2 linked regions of the Nothobranchius furzeri genome follow. The protein of the gene in region 1 binds, or shares a complex with, the protein of each later gene. Links are inferred from orthologs where the notes say so. Each region holds a gene or a part of one and is shown in the gene's direction. Other genes may lie near its edges. The genes, in order: ercc3 and polr2l.

The links.
Region 2: ercc3 (region 1) and polr2l share a complex: the UniProt entries of both Homo sapiens proteins name them as parts of the TBP-based Pol II pre-initiation complex. The link is inferred for Nothobranchius furzeri from reciprocal best matches to the Homo sapiens genes ERCC3 and POLR2L.

The regions. Positions count from the first base shown.
Region 1 is NC_091749.1:40,318,551-40,329,503, reverse strand, and holds the start of ercc3 (general transcription and DNA repair factor IIH helicase/translocase subunit XPB), read left to right. Parts: upstream 1-5,124; 5' UTR 5,125-5,267; coding exon 5,268-5,295; intron 5,296-5,475; coding exon 5,476-5,672; intron 5,673-5,756; coding exon 5,757-5,993; intron 5,994-6,072; coding exon 6,073-6,122; intron 6,123-6,200; coding exon 6,201-6,336; intron 6,337-7,826; coding exon 7,827-7,997; intron 7,998-8,068; coding exon 8,069-8,273; intron 8,274-8,389; coding exon 8,390-8,704; intron 8,705-8,816; coding exon 8,817-9,001; intron 9,002-9,770; coding exon 9,771-9,973; intron 9,974-10,060; coding exon 10,061-10,157; intron 10,158-10,953. Other genes in the region: gtf2f2a (general transcription factor IIF subunit 2), read right to left, coding at 686-759, 1,242-1,307; gpalpp1 (GPALPP motifs-containing protein 1), read right to left, coding at 3,263-3,481, 3,557-3,658, 3,749-3,913, 4,019-4,268, 4,374-4,439, 4,515-4,626, 4,728-4,812. UniProt on the Homo sapiens protein: ATP-dependent 3'-5' DNA helicase/translocase. Binds dsDNA rather than ssDNA, unzipping it in a translocase rather than classical helicase activity. Component of the general transcription and DNA repair factor IIH (TFIIH) core complex.
Region 2 is NC_091749.1:62,788,284-62,798,224, forward strand, and holds polr2l (DNA-directed RNA polymerases I, II, and III subunit RPABC5), read left to right. Parts: upstream 1-3,966; 5' UTR 3,967-4,105; intron 4,106-4,487; 5' UTR 4,488-4,497; coding exon 4,498-4,592; intron 4,593-4,861; coding exon 4,862-4,970; 3' UTR 4,971-5,103; downstream 5,104-9,941. Other genes in the region: cleavage and polyadenylation specificity factor subunit 7, read right to left, coding at 5,840-6,074, 6,159-6,303, 7,385-7,485, 7,786-8,128, 8,210-8,355, 8,435-8,538, 8,741-8,917, 9,141-9,224. UniProt on the Homo sapiens protein: DNA-dependent RNA polymerase catalyzes the transcription of DNA into RNA using the four ribonucleoside triphosphates as substrates.

The DNA.
Region 1 (10,953 bases):
CAAGGGCAGGGTTAATGCAGCTAGCTATCAGGAGATTTTGGAGCACTTCATGCTTCCATCTGCTGGAAAGCTTTATGGAGATGGAGATTTCATTATTCAGCATGACCTGGCACCTGCTCACAGTGCCAAAACCACTGGTAAATGGTTTACTGACCATGGTATTACTGTGCTCAATGGGCCTGCCAACTTTCCTGACCCCCATAGAGAATCTGTGGGATATTGTGAAGAGAAAGTTGAGAGGCACAAGACCAAACACTCTGGATGAGCTTAAGGCCGCTATCGAAGCATCCTGGGCCTCCATAACACCTCAGCAGTGCCACAGGCTGATTGCCACCATGTCACGCCGCATTGAAGCAGTCATATCTTCAAAAGGATTCCCAACCAAGTATTGGGTGTATAACTGAACAAAATTATTTGAAGGTTGACTTTTTTTTGTACTGAAAACACTTTTTTTTAGTGGTCGGATGAAATGCAAATTTTTTTGAGATAGGAATTTTGGGTTTTCATGAGCTGTATGCCAAAATCATCAATATTAGAAACAAAGGGCTTGAACTACTTTGGTTGTGCGTAATTAATCTAATATATATGAGTCTGTTTCATCAGTACATTACAGAAAATAATGAACTTTATCACAATATGCAATTTTTTTTACAAGGACCTGTATATAGACATTATTTATACATACTTGCATATTCTGAGTTTCCCTACTTCTCCTCTGCCAGTTGCTTTTGCCCATTGCTGAGAGAGGTATTTTGGCACCTGTATGCAGAAACATGAATGCTACTTCTCACTTTAATAAAAGGTACATCAAACCATTCTTGTAGCAAAATATGGAAAATTCGTTGTATCAAAACTATTTAGGAAATATAAAAGTAGAGTGGAACAATCCTTTATTCAAACTGTAGTGACACAACTTCCACAAGAAGAAACCCAGATGCTGCTGCGAACCTGTCACGTAGCTTTAGCTAACAGCCAAACGACTACTCTCTATAAAGGCGTTAATTTGCAAGTGAACACAATCCTAAATCTAACACAGCTGTCATGCGTGAATAGTTTTCCTGAGATTATCTTCGAATGTTTCAACTTAATCACGAAGCACAACTTAACTCGGTTAACTACGAAAAACCACGAACAACTTCATTTCAGTTTTGCTAAGCTAGGAAACGTTTAGCCTCTTTTAAATGAAGCGGTCAAACGTAAAGCTCAGTAACTAATGCATATCGGAATGAATATAAACACACCTTAACAAGCCACACACCAGTATTTTGCTTTGCTCCAGTTAAGTCTACCTCTCCTTTTTCTGACATGTTTCAAAACGATGCTAAAGTAAACTGCATCAATCACTAAGCGCATGCGCGCACAAAACAGGTAGCTAGCTACGGCAAGTCGGATGGTTAGACACATTTTTATAAATAATCGTTTACATTTACTTGTTTACTTTAAAACCAAAACCCACACAGAAAAACAATTTGAGATATTTTTTTAGCTCAAGCTATAAAGAAGTGCTACTTGCCTATGAGAAGCCTGCAAAAAAAAAATAAATAAATAAATGACAGCACATTTCATAGCAATTTGTTTATAATTTGCTGGTACTGTTTTTGTAATTTTAATGTTTATTTTACTTATTGGGGTATCATTCGGGTTCTGAACAGCAGAGGCAAAAATAATGCAATAAGTCTGTCAAAGAAAGTCTAGTTTTAGCCAGTTTGGGGTTAATAAGTAGGATATATTATTTGCATGGCAAGAAGTTGGTCTAGTTCACTATAGGCTAGATTCCAAACACCAACAGCATTTGGAAAAGAATATAAGAGTAGTTGCTGCCCTCCAGTGTCTAAAAAGCCAGAACTACACTCGGTCGGTATATATATATATGACATTACTGACTTTAACACATACTCATTTATACATTCAGTGCCTAAGCATTAGAGTACAGGGCACAGAGATCATCTACATTCATTCCACAGTCATATATTTGCATAATTAAACTTTATTCTAAGAAATTCACTGGATGGATATATCCCATTCATAGAAGAAACTATTTTAACTTCCTTGTCCTATCCAAGCTTTAAAAAATCCTAATCTCTCTTTTTGTCCTCTTGGGAATATTGATATTAAAGAGGAGAAGAAGGAACTGGATTTCTCTAAATTCTTCCAAACTGTTTTGTTGCCTTGTAAGAACGGGCAATGTGCGGCCTCTGCTGGCAAGAAATAAAACAACACTCTGGAGTCCAACAGCATTTAGAAAATAATGTAAGATGGAGAGTTGCTGCCCTCCAGTAAGTAAGTAAGTAAAAGTTTATTTATATAGCGCCTTTCACAGATATAAATCACAAAGCGCTGTACAACATGATAAAGATCAGGGCAAATACCTCTAACCAATAAAAACATCAGAAAAACAATAGCAGTGATAAAGTAGAAAATTAAATCATGAGTATAAACAAAGTGAAAGTGTGAACCCGAACAAAGCCATCATTCTGAAACATTTAGGGAGGGAACGCCTGGATGAAAAGGTGAGTTTTTAGATGATTTTTAACCACTTCATCACAGCTTAGAGGTTACATTACTACATAGTATTCAGTAGTATGGTTATGTTTTTATGGACAGGCTGGTTTAAGACAAATAATGTTTTAACTTACATTCGGAACATTATAAAATCTGTTGTAGATGATAGGGTGACAAGAGGTCAGGTTAAAAATTTTGAAGGTGATCCTGCAAATAAAAAGACAAACTAATAATAATAAAATTTAAAAAAAAAAAAGACAAAATCACCACACTTTAAAAAAATGACATGAATGACAGTAAGCAGAACAGTTGTCACCATATTGGTGTGGTGGAGATGTATGTCCAATCTAATCTCAACAACAAAAAAGATTATGCGGTTTACAAAAACTTAGCAAGTATTTTAATGAGAAGTTTAATGAGAAATTAAAATCAATAGTACAACATAATAGTATAACAAAGAAACATTTGCAGTTTTACAAGCAAACACACAACTTACACAATGCTAAGAATGGGTGCAGGCAGAAGCATAAGCTTATAAGTATTTTAATGATTTGAACAGCTTTCTAAAATTTGAATTCCAATAAAAACAAATGAACTACCTTGTAGAATACAGTCATTATACAAATGTACAAATTCTAAGAAATTCACATGTTTGTATTCAATCCATTCTAGTTTACAACCAGTCCACGTTGTATAAACTTTTTAACTTAAGTAAAACCAGTGAACCTGCTAATGACAGCATTTTTCGGATGCTTTGGGGTTACAAGAACATTCGGTCCTTGCTGTGGGAGAACCGTGTGTTCAGTTCCTGAGATTTCTTCAGCAGCCGCTGCTTTTGAGCCTCATCAAATCGATTAACCTGCAAGTCCTCATCACGATCAAATGGCCTCCTTTCCACTGGGTTGTCAGCTTTCTCCTTTGCCTTTTCCTTAATCTTCTTTGCATGCATACTCATCAGGGACTCTGCCCGTTTAGACTCCTGAAACCAGACAGGAAGGCACCTTCAGTCATGACTTTGATGGGGACCTTTCAGGTTAATAAGGTGCAGACTTACATTATATTTAGATACTTTCTCTGCCATTTCCAAGTCCTTCTGAGTAACTTGTGGTGCGTTATCTTTCTTTGTCTCACTTGTCTTTTTTCCTTCAAGTCGTTCCTATTAAAGAAACAAACATTGATACTGAGGAATAATATACATTAACTAATATGTTGAACACTGTAAGCGGTGGGTGATTTTTTTAGGTACCCTAGCCTTGCGCTCTCTGTCTGCTGGTGTATCCGTCCAAATGGAGCGATCCTTGTTCTCTGGACCTGACCTTTTCTTGAAAGTACGAGCACCCAAACCAATGTGCTGCAGTTCTGGTGGGAGCTCTGTCATCCACGTTTCTCTAGTTACCACCTCTGGAACATCCTAATTACGCAGAGGACAAACAAGAACACATTAAGACACAAAGAAGAAACAGCCCCCTTTTATAATTTAATTATTATGAGGAGAAAAATGTTAGAGAAAAATTACCACTCTTGTTAGCTTATCTTTCATCCTTCGTGCCCTGCACTCAAAATCATGAGCAACAGAATCTTGAATCGGTCCTTTAGCAGGCATGGGTCCAATCACGTCCTCCTCCTCTCCCTCGCTGCTGGAGGGTTCGGGACAGTAGCCCCGAGGAAGGGCAGGTCCTGGAACAATTTCTTCCTCATCATCATCATCACTGTCATATTCAGTCCTGCAGAACCCAGGAGGCAGAGCTGGCCCCAACACAGGTGCCCTGAGAAAATACCATCACAAACAAATGTCACACTGTTATCCTAAACAGGAAGTGTCCTTACACGTGCTATTTATGTTACTAGAGAATATTGATGTTTCTGCTCACCTTTCTGGTGAATGTTGCTTTTTATATCCTGGAGGCAGAGCTGGTCCAAAGAACCCATCATCATCCCTGTTCAGAAACACATGTTAGTCAAGTTCGTTCTATTTCTTTTAACTAACAAATGAGACCAGAACCAGAACTCACTCTGCAGCTCTCCCAGTCTTGGCTCGCTTAGCTGCCACCTCTGGTTCACTTTCATCTGAGGAGCTAGACTGTTCACCCCGTTTATACCCAGGAGGTAAAGCAGGACCAGCAACTAGACGGCGACATAAATAAAACTGTTAGCTAAAAGTGAACAGAGCAACCCGAAAAGATCAATTGCCACAACACGTTAGCTTCTAACAAAACGTATCTTACAATCTTTTTCGTCAACGTCGTCCTCAGAGCTCTCATTTCCAAATATCGGAGGCAAAGCAGGTCCTATAATTTTATCAGAGGACATCTTTGCTAACAATTTCGTTACGTATTTTCAGGGGATATTAAACAAAACCTGTATTTACTCTATGGCTTTTAACCTAGGAAGTAAACAATAGAGCAGCAGCGGAAGTCTTCAAAGTGTTCTGCCAAAACAAATGCACCTGCTATTGTGATTTATTTTTAATTAAGATTTTAATAAACACATTTTTGAATAAGTAGTTTTAAAGCTTCGTAAATTGTATTAAACTATCGTAAATATAAGTAATAATCAACTGTACACTGTCTCTGTGGCAAAAACGGAAATATAAAAACTTTTATTTTGAAAGTTTTTGAACGGAAACGCTTGTTATTCAGAGCTCCACTTTAGTGCACAGTCTAGACATCGTTTATTCCTTCATATCATTTAAAGACACGTATTGTGTGTTTACCTAAATACATTTGGGACTATTTTTAAGACTTTACCCATGTAAACCTTTCAAAATGGGTAAAAAAGATAAAGGAGATCGAGGTAAGTTGGTAACGTTTCATTTTAATCTGCGTGGAGCTAGTCACCGAACGCTAACCTGCAATATACTAGCGCAAATACGTCTGAGCAAAATGTAGTTTTGATTCCATGGCATCTTAACATAACTACTGATTTTTAAAATGTTTTAGTAATGTTAATGATTGTTTTGTGGATCTGCTATAGAGAAGAAGTTCAAAAGACGCTACTATGAGGAAGATGACGATGAAGAGGTGACAGTCGGGGAGTCTCAGGAAGCTGTACCTGCTGCTGCAGGGAAGCAGGTGGATGAATCTGGCACAAAACTGGATGAATATGGAGCCAAAGACTACCGCGCACAGATGCAGTTGAAGAATGACCACAACTCCCGTCCTCTCTGGGTGGTATGATGCGTCATTGCTGCTTATAGTCACAGCTGTACCTCAGTAATCTCTTAGAGGTGAAATCTTGTTCTCACTTCTCTACAGGCTCCAGATGGACACATCTTTCTGGAAGCGTTCTCACCAGTATATAAGTATGCCCAGGATTTCTTAGTGGCTATTGCAGAGCCAGTGTGCAGGCCTAACCACATCCATGAGTACAAGCTGACTGCATACTCCTTATATGCAGCAGTCAGTGTGGGGCTGCAGACCACTGATATTATAGAGTACCTGCAGAAGCTCAGTAAAACATCTGTACCTGATGGAATCATCAAGTTCATTGAGGTCAGAGATAGACAGGATGTGATCCTATAGTAACAGTTTATTTTTTTGCTCATCTGTTGTATTTTTCTGCCTCTTTCAGCTTTGCACTGTGAGCTATGGGAAAGTTAAGCTTGTGCTCAAACACAATAGGTAAAGGTCTTTCGTCTCTCTCTGCAAAAACATTTATTTCTTCAGCGGTTTTATTCACTTGTGTTTTCCCTCTTCTAGGTATTTTGTAGAGAGCACCTTCCCTGATGTGATTCAGCGTCTCCTGCAGGATAACGTGATCCGTGAATGTCGTCTTCGCTCTGCAGATGGAGCAGACCCTGAGCTTATTACTGAAGTTGTCCACAGCAAATCAGCAGTATGTCATACTCCTTAAGGATCTGGATGTTGTGGGGATTTGTTGGTTGACGCAGCTCTGTAATATCTCGTGGACTTCGGGAGCAGTTCCACTGGATTCACAGACTGGGGTGGTGGTCCCCCTGTTTAAAAAGGGGGACCGCAGGGCGTTTTCCAACTACAGGGTGATCACACTCATGAGCCTCCCTGGTAAGGTCTATTTCAGGGGTTCTGGAAAGGAGGGTCCGGTGGATTGTCGAACCTCAGATTCAGGATAAGCAATGTGGTTTTTGTCCTGGCCGTGGAACACTGGACCAGTTCTTTAGGGAGGTTCTGGAGGGTGCGCAGGAATTCGCCCAACCAGTCTACCAAACCAGTGCTTTGTGAATGTGAATTTGGTGAAGGCTTTTGATTTTGTCCCTCAGGGGGCCCTGTGGGGGGTACTTTGGGAGTATGGGTACCAGGCCTTGTGATACAGGCTGTCAGGTCCCTGTATGACTGGTGTCAGAGCTTGGTCCACATTGCAGACAGAGATGGGCCATTCCCATCTGTACCGGGTTGGCCCGGGCCGGGTAGCGTAGGTTGTTTACATATCTGGGTGGCCTGGTATTTTTCCGGGCCAACCAAGGCTCATTCTCAGCCCTCTTCTCGAGGGGGTCTGCTTCAGGCCGACCAGGGCCAACACACCCACTGCTGACAGCAAATTCACACCTTCCATTAGAGCAAGCCTCTGATTGGTGGGTAGAATCAGCCCACATGGGCTTAAGACAAGGATGTTTGAAATCAACCGGGCCAGGCTGGGACCAACTGGGGCTACCCGGCCCGGGCCGACCCGATACAGATGGGAATAGCCCATAAGTTTGATCGTTTCCGGTGAGAGTTGGGCACCACCAAGGCTGCCCTTTGTCAGCGATTCTGCTCATAACTTTTATGAACAGGATTTGTAGGTGTAGCCAAGGTTATAAGGGAATCCATTTTGGTGTTCTAAGGATCAGATATCTGCTTTTTGCAGTTGATGTTGTCCTGTTGGCTTCATCAGAACGTGATCTCCAGCTCCTGGATGCCTCCCTGGTGAGGTTTTCCGGGCATGTCCAACTAGGAGGAGACCTGAAGGAAGACCCAGGACATGCTTGAGGGACTATGTCTCTCAGTTTGCCAGGGAATGCCATGGGATTCCCCTGGAGGAGCTGGCCCAAGTGGCTGGGGAGAGGGAAGTCTGAACCTCCCTGCTTAGGCTGCTGCCTCCGTGACATGACCCTGGATACGCAAAAGAAAATGGATGGATGATATTTGAATTTACAGGGGTTTGCAGAAGTTCAAAATAGAACTGAATGAAAATGTCACTGTGTTGAATGTTTTATTCTAGAGATGTATTTAGGAAATAATTAGTGTATAAAATGAAACATTTGGTAGATTTTTGGGAAACGTCTCCCATTTTCTTAAACTAAACCCCCGTTACGTAAAAAGTGTAAAATATTTATTTTTCCTATTACATTTCTCTTTTTTGGCCAGATTTCTAAGTTTGTTCAAGAAAAAGGAGACCCATCCACCTCACAGCAGCCTGTTGATGGACAGACCTCAAACCAGCAGGTCCCTGAGGACATCTTCAGCTACTATGAACAGATGGATAAGGATGAAGAGGAGGAGGAGGAGACTCAGACAGTGTCCTTTGAAGTTCGACAGGTACCACATTTATTGTTTTTTTACAGAAATAATAGGAAGACCATCAACACCCTGTGCTTCATCTGCTGCAGGAGATGATTGAAGAGCTACAGAAGCGTTGTATCCAGCTGGAGTACCCCCTCCTAGCGGAGTATGACTTCCGAAATGACACAGTTAACCCAGACATCAACATAGACCTGAAGCCCACTGCCGTGCTGCGGCCCTACCAGGAGAAGAGTCTGCGCAAGATGTTTGGAAACGGGCGAGCCCGATCAGGAGTCATTGTGCTACCCTGTGGTAGGAAAGCTAGTCCAGAGCTGCCAGGAGAATACAAAACGTTTATTGATAAAATGCAGACTATAAGTTAGAACAGCAAGAAAACAAATGACTGATTTCTTGTTTCTGATTTGAAGGTGCTGGGAAGTCTCTGGTTGGCGTGACAGCGGCGTGCACCGTGCGTAAGCGCTGCCTGGTGCTGGGTAACTCGTCTGTATCTGTGGAGCAGTGGAAGGCCCAGTTCAAGATGTGGTCCACCATCGACGACTCTCAGATCTGCCGCTTCACCTCCGACGCCAAGGACAAGCCCATTGGCTGCTCGGTGGCCATCAGCACCTACTCTATGCTGGGTCACACCACCAAGCGATCATGGGAGGCTGAAAAGGTCATGGAGTGGATGCGGGGCCAGGAGTGGGGGCTTATGATCCTGGATGAGGTGCACACCATCCCTGGTGAGCTCTCGGCAAAATCCAGATAATAAAACCGTTTATTTTTTTATTTTGAATGCAATGGGACGTGGACCTTGTGTTTAATGTGAATTAATAATGTTATTTTTGTCTGCAGCAAAAATGTTCCGACGTGTTCTGACCATTGTCCAGGCCCACTGCAAACTGGGCCTTACTGCCACACTGGTCAGGGAAGATGACAAGATTGTGGACCTCAACTTCCTCATTGGGCCCAAGCTGTATGAAGCCAACTGGATGGAGCTGCAGAACAATGGTTATATTGCCAAAGTTCAGTGTGCAGAGGTAGGTCCTGTAACACTAGAACATAAATGGAAGATTTTAGGAGTAAAACTGGTATTCTTTTAAAACATTAAGCTAGTCACCAGAGCTTTGATGTGCAGTAATTAAACAGTGAGCCGATAAACCAAAATGAGATTCAAGAACACCTCAATAAACTTTCAGATCATTATGATTAGAGGTTCTTTAAATATCTGCTGCATCCTAGACTGGAAATTTCTTGGCAATTCTGCTAAAACAAGTGTGTGTAATGCAAATGTTTTAACAGGTTTTAAAACTATTGTTTACGGGAATTTGGAGTTGTTTTAATATGACAACATGCTTTGGATGTGGGTCTATTTTGAACCATATTTACAAGCTAAAACTTTTCCAAACCTCAAGGTTCAAGGGCATAGCAATCGTAAGAGTTGAAGATTGAAGAATCATTTTTATTTGAGAATCATTTTAGATGAGAGGTGAAGTTTCACCAAGATACAAGAAAATAAATATAGCTGTCCTTTTGTTTGGGCATTCTCTAAAGATCCGAGGGCTCTAGTGGACGATCAAAGAGATTATACTGATATTTGAATAGATGACTAGATACGGCAGCACTGAAAGGATTAACTTGTTTAAAATCAAGACTAAGGCTTTGACAGCAGCTACTGTGTGTCCTGTTGGGTTTAGTAGATATACTTAAGTTTTGATTATCTGGTTTTTACTTCTGAAAGTTTGTACAGCGCTGATTAAGTGGATCCCTGTGTGTGTGTGTGTGTGTGTGTGTGTGTGTGTGTTTCAGGTGTGGTGCCCCATGTCTCCAGAGTTTTACAGAGAGTATGTGGCCATTAAAACAAAAAAGCGCATTCTGCTTTACACAATGAACCCCAACAAGTTCCGGGCTTGCCAGTTCCTCATTCGCTTCCACGAGCGGCGCAACGACAAGATCATCGTCTTTGCCGACAACGTGTTTGCCTTGAAGGAGTACGCCGTTCGGCTCAACAAGTGAGCTTTCAGCGACAGAAGTTTTTCAAATTGTTGCATTAAGTATTCCTGAAATTTTTAATGATACCTTTTGTTGTTTTATGCAAGGCCTTACATCTATGGCCCCACCTCTCAGGGAGAGCGTATGCAGATTTTGCAGAATTTCAAACACAACCCAAAGATCAACACCATATTCATCTCCAAGGTGAAGTGTTCACCCGTCTCTCGCACACACACACTCGCACTTTTCGTTCCAAGTGCGAAGGAGGGGTGCCCTTTGATCCTTAAGAATTTTCTTGAAGCTTTATCTCGTCCGGGAACATCTTCTCTAACACCCTAACAAGCCTAGCCATCATTTAATTTACACTAATTGTCCCACCTTCAAAATAGATTTTAATGTATTTAGTGCTTAATGCTTATACAGTGATTTGTTCTGCACTAAAGCTTTGATGTTTGTTCGTACTTGCAGGTAACCTTGGGTTTAGATTTGTCCAAAGTAACAATACTGTTGATGAAAATGTATTATGTATATTAAATACGATTTATTTATTCAGAAAATTAACAAGGCCAGTAATTACTTAAGTAATGTTAGTTGTTCTCTGTGTAATTTGCATTTAAAAATCAATTCTTTGGTAAAAAAAAAACCAAGTCAACTCTTTTTTTTTGTTGTAGTATCAGAATTTCATATTTTTATGAAATAATTCAGAGAAATAACTTATTTTTCCCTCTCTTTAAATGTAAAGGTAAAGAGTAAAACTACAATTGGAAATGAAATAGTTGATTTCTATTATTAACATTTTTATTTTATAAGATTAGATTGCAACTTCAGGGCTGTAATTATGAGTTATCCTGGATTCTCCTTCAATTTTCATTTGGTAAGCCAGATAGGTCAAATTAAAAATTAAACATAAAGCATGCTAACTTGCTTTTGTAGCAGATCACAACGTTTTCATGAAATCAGATGTTTTTGCACAAAATAACAAAACATTCTAAAATAACAC
Region 2 (9,941 bases), about 22 Mb from region 1:
TCATGCTCTCCTTCCCCTCCCTCCTATTTTCAGCGTCCTCCATCTCTCCGCTGTCTCTCATTTTCTAATACTGAGGACATTTCCAACTTCCAGAGACAGCTCTGCCTCCTTTACACGTCTGTTATTCTTCTCATCTATGCATAGGTGTTGAAAAGGTAAATAATGTTCATATGTTTCATCCTAGTTTAGAGAATGATTTAAAATAATATATTTGTGTAAATAATGCATCCAGGCTACATTTTGTAACATTCAGGCTACTGGGACAAATCCACTCTACTAAATTAAGCCTCATTTGTTTTCTTGCTTATTTCATCCATCACACTCTTGCTCTCTCCTCCATCTTGCGGCCCATTTCTTGCACATTTAATTATTGAGATATATTAATGGTGGGTGCATGCGCTTAAGTTTAACATCAAGATTAGATCTTTATGTATTTGCATCTGGACCAGGCTCTTCCCGAGGTCAAAGAAATAGAGATTCAAATCTCTTTTGCATTGAAGCTCTAGCATCCATTACTAAATTACCCAATTGTCCTATAAAATAGCTTAGCACAGGAAGCTGCTTTAAATGTAAATCCTACTTCATCTAGCAGTTAAGTCAGAGCAGCTGTGACCAAAATAAATATTTTCATGTCCCTGTGAGCATTTGGAGAGCTCCCATCAATGTCGTCTTTTCCCAAGGTCACATTTATGGCTTCACTGATTCAAGGCTGAGCAAACAGATGGATATCAGGGCCTCATTCATGTTTCAGTCTGTCTATAATCATCAGAGCAGATAACATGACGACTGCGTCTAATTTAGAAGGGTAATCTGTCTACTTCTGTGCTTTTATTTATTTTTCACCTCAGTGAAGCAGCACGCAGCTGACCTTATAACAACTCCTGACCACGCCGCACCTGTGTCTCTGAGTCCATGGAAGCTAAGGCCAAGTCTGGGGCTTCAGCACCCAAGGCAACATCCAAAGCAGAGAAGAAGGAGCCAGCAGCACCATGCAAGGCTGACCCTGCCCCTGCAGCCCCTGAGCCTGAGAACCCCCCCTCCTCCAACGATGGAGGAACAGCAGCTGAATCAGCAGCAGCAGCAGGAAGTGAGGACGCTGCGGCCTCTGGCACAGACTCTCTGGAGCACCTGAAGCCTTTTCTCATCGGTGGCGCTGTTATTGCTGCAGGAGCCATCTTGCTGGGAGCGTTGCTCCTGGCGAGGAGAAATTAAAACCAAATTAGAAGAACGGCTGACTATATGGTTTGGATAAGAGATTGGAAAGACAATATTTTATTTATTTATTGTTTGTTTTTGACCTGATCTCACGTGTAGAGAATCACCCCATTTAAGTTTTTACCAAGGCTGTATATGGAGAATAATTACACTAATAATACATGCATGAAGTCTCAACAGCACAGCATAATGTAAAATTAATTAAAAATATTATAAAAAGACTTATTCCTCAGCTTGATGCCTAAACCTTTTAAACACAACTGTCTGCTTTATTTAGTTTAATCCAGCGTGAGCAAATATTGACCTGAGGTTGCAATATTTGTGCATTCCGACACAGTGAATGAGCTTGGTTAATTTTGTGTAAATATTTCAAAATTATATATCCACTGTGTTCATGATGTTTTTGAGCAATCACAGTTCTCTTACTTTAAAATAGAATATTTGAAAGAGTTGGTGAACGAACAGTCACGTTTATGCATAGCAAAGGATTATGGATCTTTTGTTAAAAGAAACACCTGCACAGGTGGAATTAGATATATTGAGAATAAGTATGAGCATGGGTACAGGCAACAGCTGACCTTCACAGGGCTAATACTGGCCCAGTAATCAACAAGGCCACTACTAATAATGTGGACTAGAGCCTATTTGTGGCAAGAATTTGCAGATTTCCTCAACTTTCCATCATTTTCCAAGTGTGTCAAACTGACATTTGTCATTCTGGAAAGAAAAACCTTTTTATTCAGTTCTGTCACTCAGGAATAAATCAGTGTTCCTGGGTTGATTCTGTGGTGTCACTCGTTACATCTACATTGTACGTTGGTGGCAAAAAAATATGGTAAACCTTTGTATTGAGCAGGGGTCTGCAATCTACAGCTCTGGAGCCAAGTACGGCTCTTTGGAGCTTCCACAATTGCTCTTAATAATGTATTCTAAAAATGGTAAAATACTAATTTAAAAAAATATATATTAATATAATAATGCAGATTCAAGCTACTGTTCTGTATTTTCACAGAATCAATTGCATTCAATTTCCTCAACAGAATTACACTATTTTTATAACTTTCCTGATATACAGAATGATATTCATACAGTTTTTGCAAAAGTTTTATTTCATTTTTCCTAATTTAAAAACTTAATCAAATCCCATAGAGAAGATACTGATAGAAGATAAAACAAGAGTTGTGACTATAATCTAAAAACAAAAAAGTCAGAATCATGATTTCAACCTCAGAATTCTGATTAATTTTTAGACATTTCTCAAAAATTCATTGTCTGTTTTCTGAAAGCCCTGTAACAGTGTGGGAAACAGCTCTTTGGATAGTAAAGGTTGCAGACCTCTGGTGAAGAGTAACAAAGACAAACTCATTGGGTTTAAAATAAACCAAAACATTATTAAACACTGAAATATGACACGTTCTGGGACAAAAGAAGAAGTTGGTTTGCGTGTTTATTCTAACCTCTATATGGGTTTGAAAGCCCACAGCCAGTCAGCCACTAGAATTGAGTCAATTTTTATGCCACTCTGTGTGTTTTCAAAGTCACCCACCAAAAATATGTAATGAAAGCATTTATAATAGCATAAAAGTAGTACTCATACTTCACTGAAAGGGGGAAAAGAATTTGTTACTGCACAAACACACCTGTACAGTGGCTCACTAGCCTTTCAGCTTGCAACTGTAAAACTCATCCGGTTGTCTCTGTTTGGTAGAAAGGTAGTTTTGACAACCAGAATGTATAGCTTCACCATATTTTATACCCCCTAAAAAACTCATAAGAGCATATCACCATCACTAGACAGCTCCTCTGACATGTTCAAAAAGTAGTAAGTCAACACAAAAATAAATTTCACCTTACATTGTACAATACAGTGTACTCTTAAAAAACAAAAGAATATGAAAACTCCTATTTTCATAATTTCAACAGCGTATAAATGCAATAATTCAGGTAGGATTCCTCATTTAGCATATGTGCTGTAGCAAATGAAATTACATAGATGATGTATTACTGTATAATGTTACTGATGGTAATGATAATGACATTTATCATGCTGACTGTAAAGATGACTATGGTGGAAATAATATGTATGTTTTATATTTTAAATATTTTCTTTATGCACCCTCCTCTATGAGTCCAATCATTTAAATGTAAAATATGACAAATCTGAAATTCAATCTTATTAAAGGCAGTGAACCAGTCCTATAGTGAGCATTTCTTTTGTGGATTCATGTTAATATTAATTTGTGTAACTATCTGCATTGGATGAAGATTTTATTTTTGCATGGTACCACCTTCAAAAACATTAGTTTTAATCAACTAATTTAGCTCTTTTCCTTAACATTCTGTCAAGATGGTATATTGAATTGCAATTGCATTTATTAGTTATATCAAGGAAAATGTTAGAGTTTTTAAACTCCTTTATCTGTGGTTACATGGATATTAATACTTTTGCTTCAAAGTTGTTTGTTTTGTAAAAGGAAAAATACATTGTGAGGTGAGTGACTTGACATGTTAGCTAAGTTTGATGGGGAGTACTGCCATTTTTATACGCTCGTTTATGAAGTGAGCTGTGGTCATTATTCAGTAGCAATATTGTGATTCTAATGAATTGTTATTTCACTTTTGCACCACATTTATTAAAACCAAATAGACGAAGACGCTCACACGTTTTCCGTGTCAGTTTCCCCATTTTCGTTTTTTTTTTTTTGGGGGGGGGGGGGGGTCAATTTTGCAAATCACAGGAAACGCTCACCTCTTATTCCGCTTTTATTTTGGCGGATTTTACCCGGAAGTTGTTTTAACGACATAAGGAGTGAGAGAACGCCATCATTATCGTGCTGGAGTTACTTTTACCAAGAAAATAGTACATTCATCTGATCTACAGCCTCAAAAGGTGAAACATATGGTAAAACGTGATAAACTAATGACGTGTGTAAGTTCGTTTAGCGGAATAATTTCAACAGCAGCTAACGCTAGCTGGTGGGCTAGTTACGTAGCGGAATACAGCACTAACCATAAGATTTGATTTCAACCGTCTTTTTTAAGTAATTCGTTTTTGGACTATTGATTAATCCATCTGAAAAAAAAAACTAAATACGTGTTTGCTTTAATCGTTGCAGTGCTAGGTTTTGCTGCATTAACGTTAGCAAAACATGCTCACATGGTGGTCTTACTGCGGTGGTATGCGGAAACGTAAATGTAATTTAAGTTAAACGACTCAACTGTGATTGTTTTACATTGTTTTCAAACATTAACCGGGTTGACTTTTGTTGCAGGTATTTAACGATGATAATCCCTGTGAGGTGCTTCACTTGTGGGAAGATTGTGGGGAACAAATGGGAAGCGTACCTCGGTCTGTTGCAAGCGGAATACACAGAGGGGTGAGAAACAACCACGTCTAGCTTCACGTTTCATGATCTTTTTACGTCCGAAATTGTTCTGGCACGTGTTTGAGTAGCTTTTCTACAAAGGTAGAACATTTCAACATTTGGTCACAATGCAGGCAAGCTAAATAACATTTAAAAAGAAGATTGGGTTTAGATTTGTTTTTAAACCACAATGCCTTTCACCTTTCCTTATGGTTTTCAGCAGTGATTAAAACGTGTTTATGTAACATATCAGGACTGATTTTTGCCATCTCCCTCCCTAGTGATGCTCTTGACGCTCTTGGCTTGAAGAGGTACTGCTGTCGAAGGATGCTTCTTTCTCATGTGGATCTTATTGAGAAATTGCTGAATTATGCTCCGTTGGAAAAATGAATGTTGTGGACTTTGTAGCACCATTATCAGGGTGAATGTGTGTACTATGTAACCTTAAATTACGACCACAGAGAAGAATTTATGGAAACATTTTTCAATTACTGGATTTTTTAAAATAAAATGAATAACCTTGCTTTCTTTCGTCCATGCGTCTACATTTTATGTGGTTGGCAACGACTAGCTCTTCAGATCTTAGCTTTGGAAATTAATGGTTTTAATCGCATAGTTCATTTCATGAGATTGGAAAAATTGATGAATGATTAAATGTCTATTTCCTGTCAATGTGACATAATTTTACAGCTTTGTGTAGTTAGTTATAACAAAACACTGGAGGATTTTTTTTTATTTGTAGAATTTATACAAAAAAAAGAATGAAAACAAGTTATTAACAGGTGTTCACTACATGCATGTTGAAATTCTATAATACAAGAATGAATCTACACAACTTTTTCTTAAAACAAATCAGACATGGTGAATATAACTGATAAAAAGTAGGTTTCATACTTTCAAACATCCAATGTCTCAGCTTCAAAGAGTTTTGACATTTATCAACCTTGGTGCAAGAAAATGCTCATCTTTCCCCGGCAGGATTCTTCAGTCTGGGGAGAAAAGGGAACAAAACCAGAACAAAGTCAGAGTAAAAAAAATAAAGGGATGCCAATCTTTCGTGATTTCAGTTAATGCATTCATATTAAATTCAGACGTTAAAGAGCTGTATATTATCCTGATATTGTGTCTGACCTACAGTGAAGATTAGAATACAAATAACTGCTCATTTAAAATGTTTATAAAGGAAGAAATGCTCCCCTGACTCAATGTAATTTTTAGCATATATAACTTTTGTAGTTAAGTCTGTTTATCTTACCAGGTTAGTAGTATCGGTCTTTGTAATCTCGATGTCTTTCTCGCTCTCGTAAGCGCTCTTTGTCCCTGTCTCCACTCCAGGAATGTTCTCTATGTCTTCGAGACGTTCCCGCACCTTCCCTGCTGTAAGAGTCACTTCGGTCACGATCTCGGTATCGCTCTCTGTCACGATCTCTGTCGCGGTCGTGGTCTCTTTCACGACCTCTGTCCCGGTCTCTGTCTTTCTCTCTTGAACGCCTGCTAAAAAGAAAATCTTTAATTAGAAAAAAGCTTAACCCTCTAAGAAAGACAAGCACTCAAACCAAGTTTCCTAAATATACAAACCTGGTTTCACAGTTGCTTTGGATCGAGACTAAACAGTCTTTGAGTGAGGTGACCAAAGCTCGGCAGCGTTCATCCCCGTGCACTTTAGACTGCTTTATGATGGCAATCGCCGTTAATAGTGTCTCCATGGCCATCTGCTGCTCTCCTGCATTAGAAATTCAGGAAATAAGATCGTCTTTTAAAAAGCAGGTTCAGTGGGAAACAAATTTTTTTAACTTATTTTTGAAAATGATCAATGACTGAGTTTAACCATGAAAACAGTCTTCTACCCCTATTTCCTTCATTAGCTTTTGATAGACACTAGACGGAAACACACTCGGTTCAGAAAAGCCTGACAGATCTAGTCACACTGTCACTTAACATTCATGGACTCACCCATCTTGACTCGCGACGGGGAAATCTGTTGTTGGTTTACCGTCCAGGAAACGGCAGTGAACGTCTCGACTAGTAGATGCTAATGATTAGCATTAGCAACTCCACAACAGCAGAACTCCTTCAGACTTGTGTCATTTGTGGAGATAAATCAACGTTGCAAAGCAAATGTAGTCAGTGGTAGAGTCATGTTGCAGTTAGCCAATCCAAGGCAAGATATCCAAATATCAGGAAATAAAACTCTAAATCCTGCCGTCTGAAGCTACGTTCTCCTCCAGCTGGCATCTACGTCCTCAAACAGGCGCACCGGAGCTTCTTGTCCCCCAGAGTACGAACTACAAGGCATTCATTCCTACTAGAAACCACTGCAAATGTATTAAAAAACATGAATAAAGTTGACCCTTAAGAACTTTTTAGAGGTCCATCTTAAAGTACAAATGTACAATTTTTTTTTTTTACCTTCTTATATTTGATTGCAATTGCACAATATGAAAGTATGCTTACTGGGATGTTTTTGCTTTTAATTACAACAGAACTCTTAAAATTTAAATCACTAGCCGCCAATAAAACAATCGTAAATTATTTAAAAATGTAAAACAAAAAGTACATTTTTTAAATTAGTATGAAATTCATTACACATTGGTAAAACTAATAAAATATCTGTTTCTTCTTGGGCAAGTATCTTAGATGAAAAGGTTTTTTTTTTTACCTGAAAGTTTCGACATCCTACAAGATGCCTTCTCCGTGACGACACAGGTATTGGGGAAACCAAAACTGTAAGGAATAATCCTTTCCCCGTGTGGTTTATGAGGTTCTGGGTACTTTAATTACAGCACCTGATCATTTGTACTCACCAGCTGTTGCCCCAGATATGGCCTTGGTGATTGCACTGCTGGCAATGGTCTGGTTTCTGCTCATTAGTTCTTCAAAATCGTCTTTGCTTTGAGAGAGTTTTCTGGACCAAAAACAGAATAATGTTAGCAAACAAGCCCGGCAAGCCAGACTAAATAAATACATTATTTAACTTTTAACTATTCAAACTTTGCAAAGCAAGAATTTGGTCTAGTTCACTAGGGTAATAGCAAGCAACAACTTTATTTTTCTCCTTTTTCCAACAACATTCCATAGGCTTTTGGACAATCGCACTGTGAAGAAGTCTTTTTTTTTATTTCTTACAGTAAATGGCCTGTATTTCATACGGCACCTTCCAGAGTCCTAGATCGTATGGCGTTGATAACACAAAACGTGCTCTTACGCTGGTTGGCTGTATAACGGTCTGCTCGGTCTTTCCTGTGTCTGGCTGAAGAAAGGAGGACTCATGTGAAAACCAGAAGGTGGTTGGCCAGTTGTCTGAGCAGGATGCAGCGAGAACAAAGGAGGTGGAATGAGTGGCGACATTACAGGTGGCATGTTTGGGAACAGAGGGGGTGGCTGAAGGAGGAAAGGACTGGGCGATGGAGGAAAACTAGGTGGAAATGAAGGTGGTGGGAAAGGTGGAGGTCCAGGAGGGTTCCTGGGCTGCTGTGATGATACTGGTGTGGAAGTCTTTTGTGTGGAAATAGATTCTTTAGAATCGGAACTAGCTTGTACGGGCATACCTGTGAATGAGTAAAAAGGTTTTTTTTAAAGAAAGTCAGTCAATAAATTTTGTGATATAATGAATTATAGCCATATCTTACGTTTATTTGCGATATCCTCAAATACAGAAAGATTCTGGAGAGTGGCATAACGGCACACTAATTTCTCCCCATTGATATGGCATTGTGGTATTTTTTCCAATAATATTTTAAAGGAATTTTCAGACAACACCACCACTTCTGCATAGCTGGAACACAAAGAGATGTGGAATACATAATTATGAATCCAAAGCAAAAGTATTTAGTGGTATTTTTAAATATATTTACCCCCTTGACAGGCCGTTAACTTTGTTTTCAGCAAATTTGATCTCTTCGACGTCCTTTACACCCAGTCTTTTGGCTATATTTAAAAGGTCTTCATCAGATGTCCACTGTAAGTAGAAGCATATTTTAGGGGAGGGAACATGTCTATGGATAAAAAGACAAAGTTTGACAAGAAATAATTACAGTAAAAGGCAACTCAAGAGGCACTGCAACATAATTATGTATGTGGAGATGATATATATATAACAAAAGAAAAAAACAGCTTTTGCAGATTTCCTACAATAACACTAACTGGGTTGTACTGCTTACCCAAGAGAAATTCCCAATGTATAAAGAGAGTCTCACTGAAGAGTCTCTTCCTTTATGTGCATTCCCATCTTTTGGTTTATCCTCTTTTTTAGCCGAAGCTTCCTTAGTGATCGTCTTTTTGTCTTGATCAACCGTTCCAGTAAGAACAGCATCAAAAAGGTCGTTTGCTTCCAAATCCTGGGTGAGAAAAAATTAACAATAATGTTGACATTTTTGAACAAGAAACGCTTTTAATTTATATTTTCCACTTATTTTATTACATCTCTGATTTTGATTTTAAAATTATCTTAATTTTTTGCATAATACAACTCACATAAAATTGTAAGCAATGAACTTAAAATGTACAACGATTAACTTTAACATTTGATACAGATTAAATAAGCTTTCCCGTTAGGCTCACCTCATCGTTCGCATGCAAGTCGCTGTATATATCGATGTCGTTTTTGGAGGAACTCGGTTCGGCTGCAGGTTGTGCAGCAGCCATCGTGTGGGCCTCAGATGCCAACTGCAGGCACGGAAGCGTTTTAGTTGCTTCGCTTATTTTACCTGTTCAGTTTGCACAACAGCACTGTGCACATTTATGATGCACAACAAACACTGCCCCGATTTTTCTAAAATTATATACGTTAACGTCAGTTTTCACGCTAACCGTCCTCGCTTCGCTCAGGTCCGCAACTACTAAAAAAAAAGCTAAATCTTTAGCTAAAACAAAACACCAAAAAAACAATAAATTTAACGAACTACTAATTCAATTAGGCAGTAGTCTTTACCGATAAATTAACACATAACCAAACTATTTATCTCGCATGTTGGCTACCTGATAAGCTAACGCTCCTTGTTTTTTCACTCAGTGCGTAGGAAGTAATTCCCCGGTAGAGAACAACAATCCACTTTTTGGGTCCTAGGCTTAAATTCACATTAAGTTAATTTATTTGGGAGTTGTGCGAATATTTACAGATACACAAATTAACCAATAATGTTTAATATTTATTTCTGGTGGCTTAAGCATGTTTCTTTTATAGTTACATTTCTCTTTCATCTCTCAACCTCAACTTATGTGCGCAGTCGGAAGTTTGCCGTTGCAGCCCGGTGGTGACGTAAGAGCGTTTACAAGCTAGGCATACTTGTGTAATTTTGTCGAGAAAGACATTTGTGAGAAGGAAAACGCTTAAGTCTACCCACCGGTACAAGAAGAAGTTTA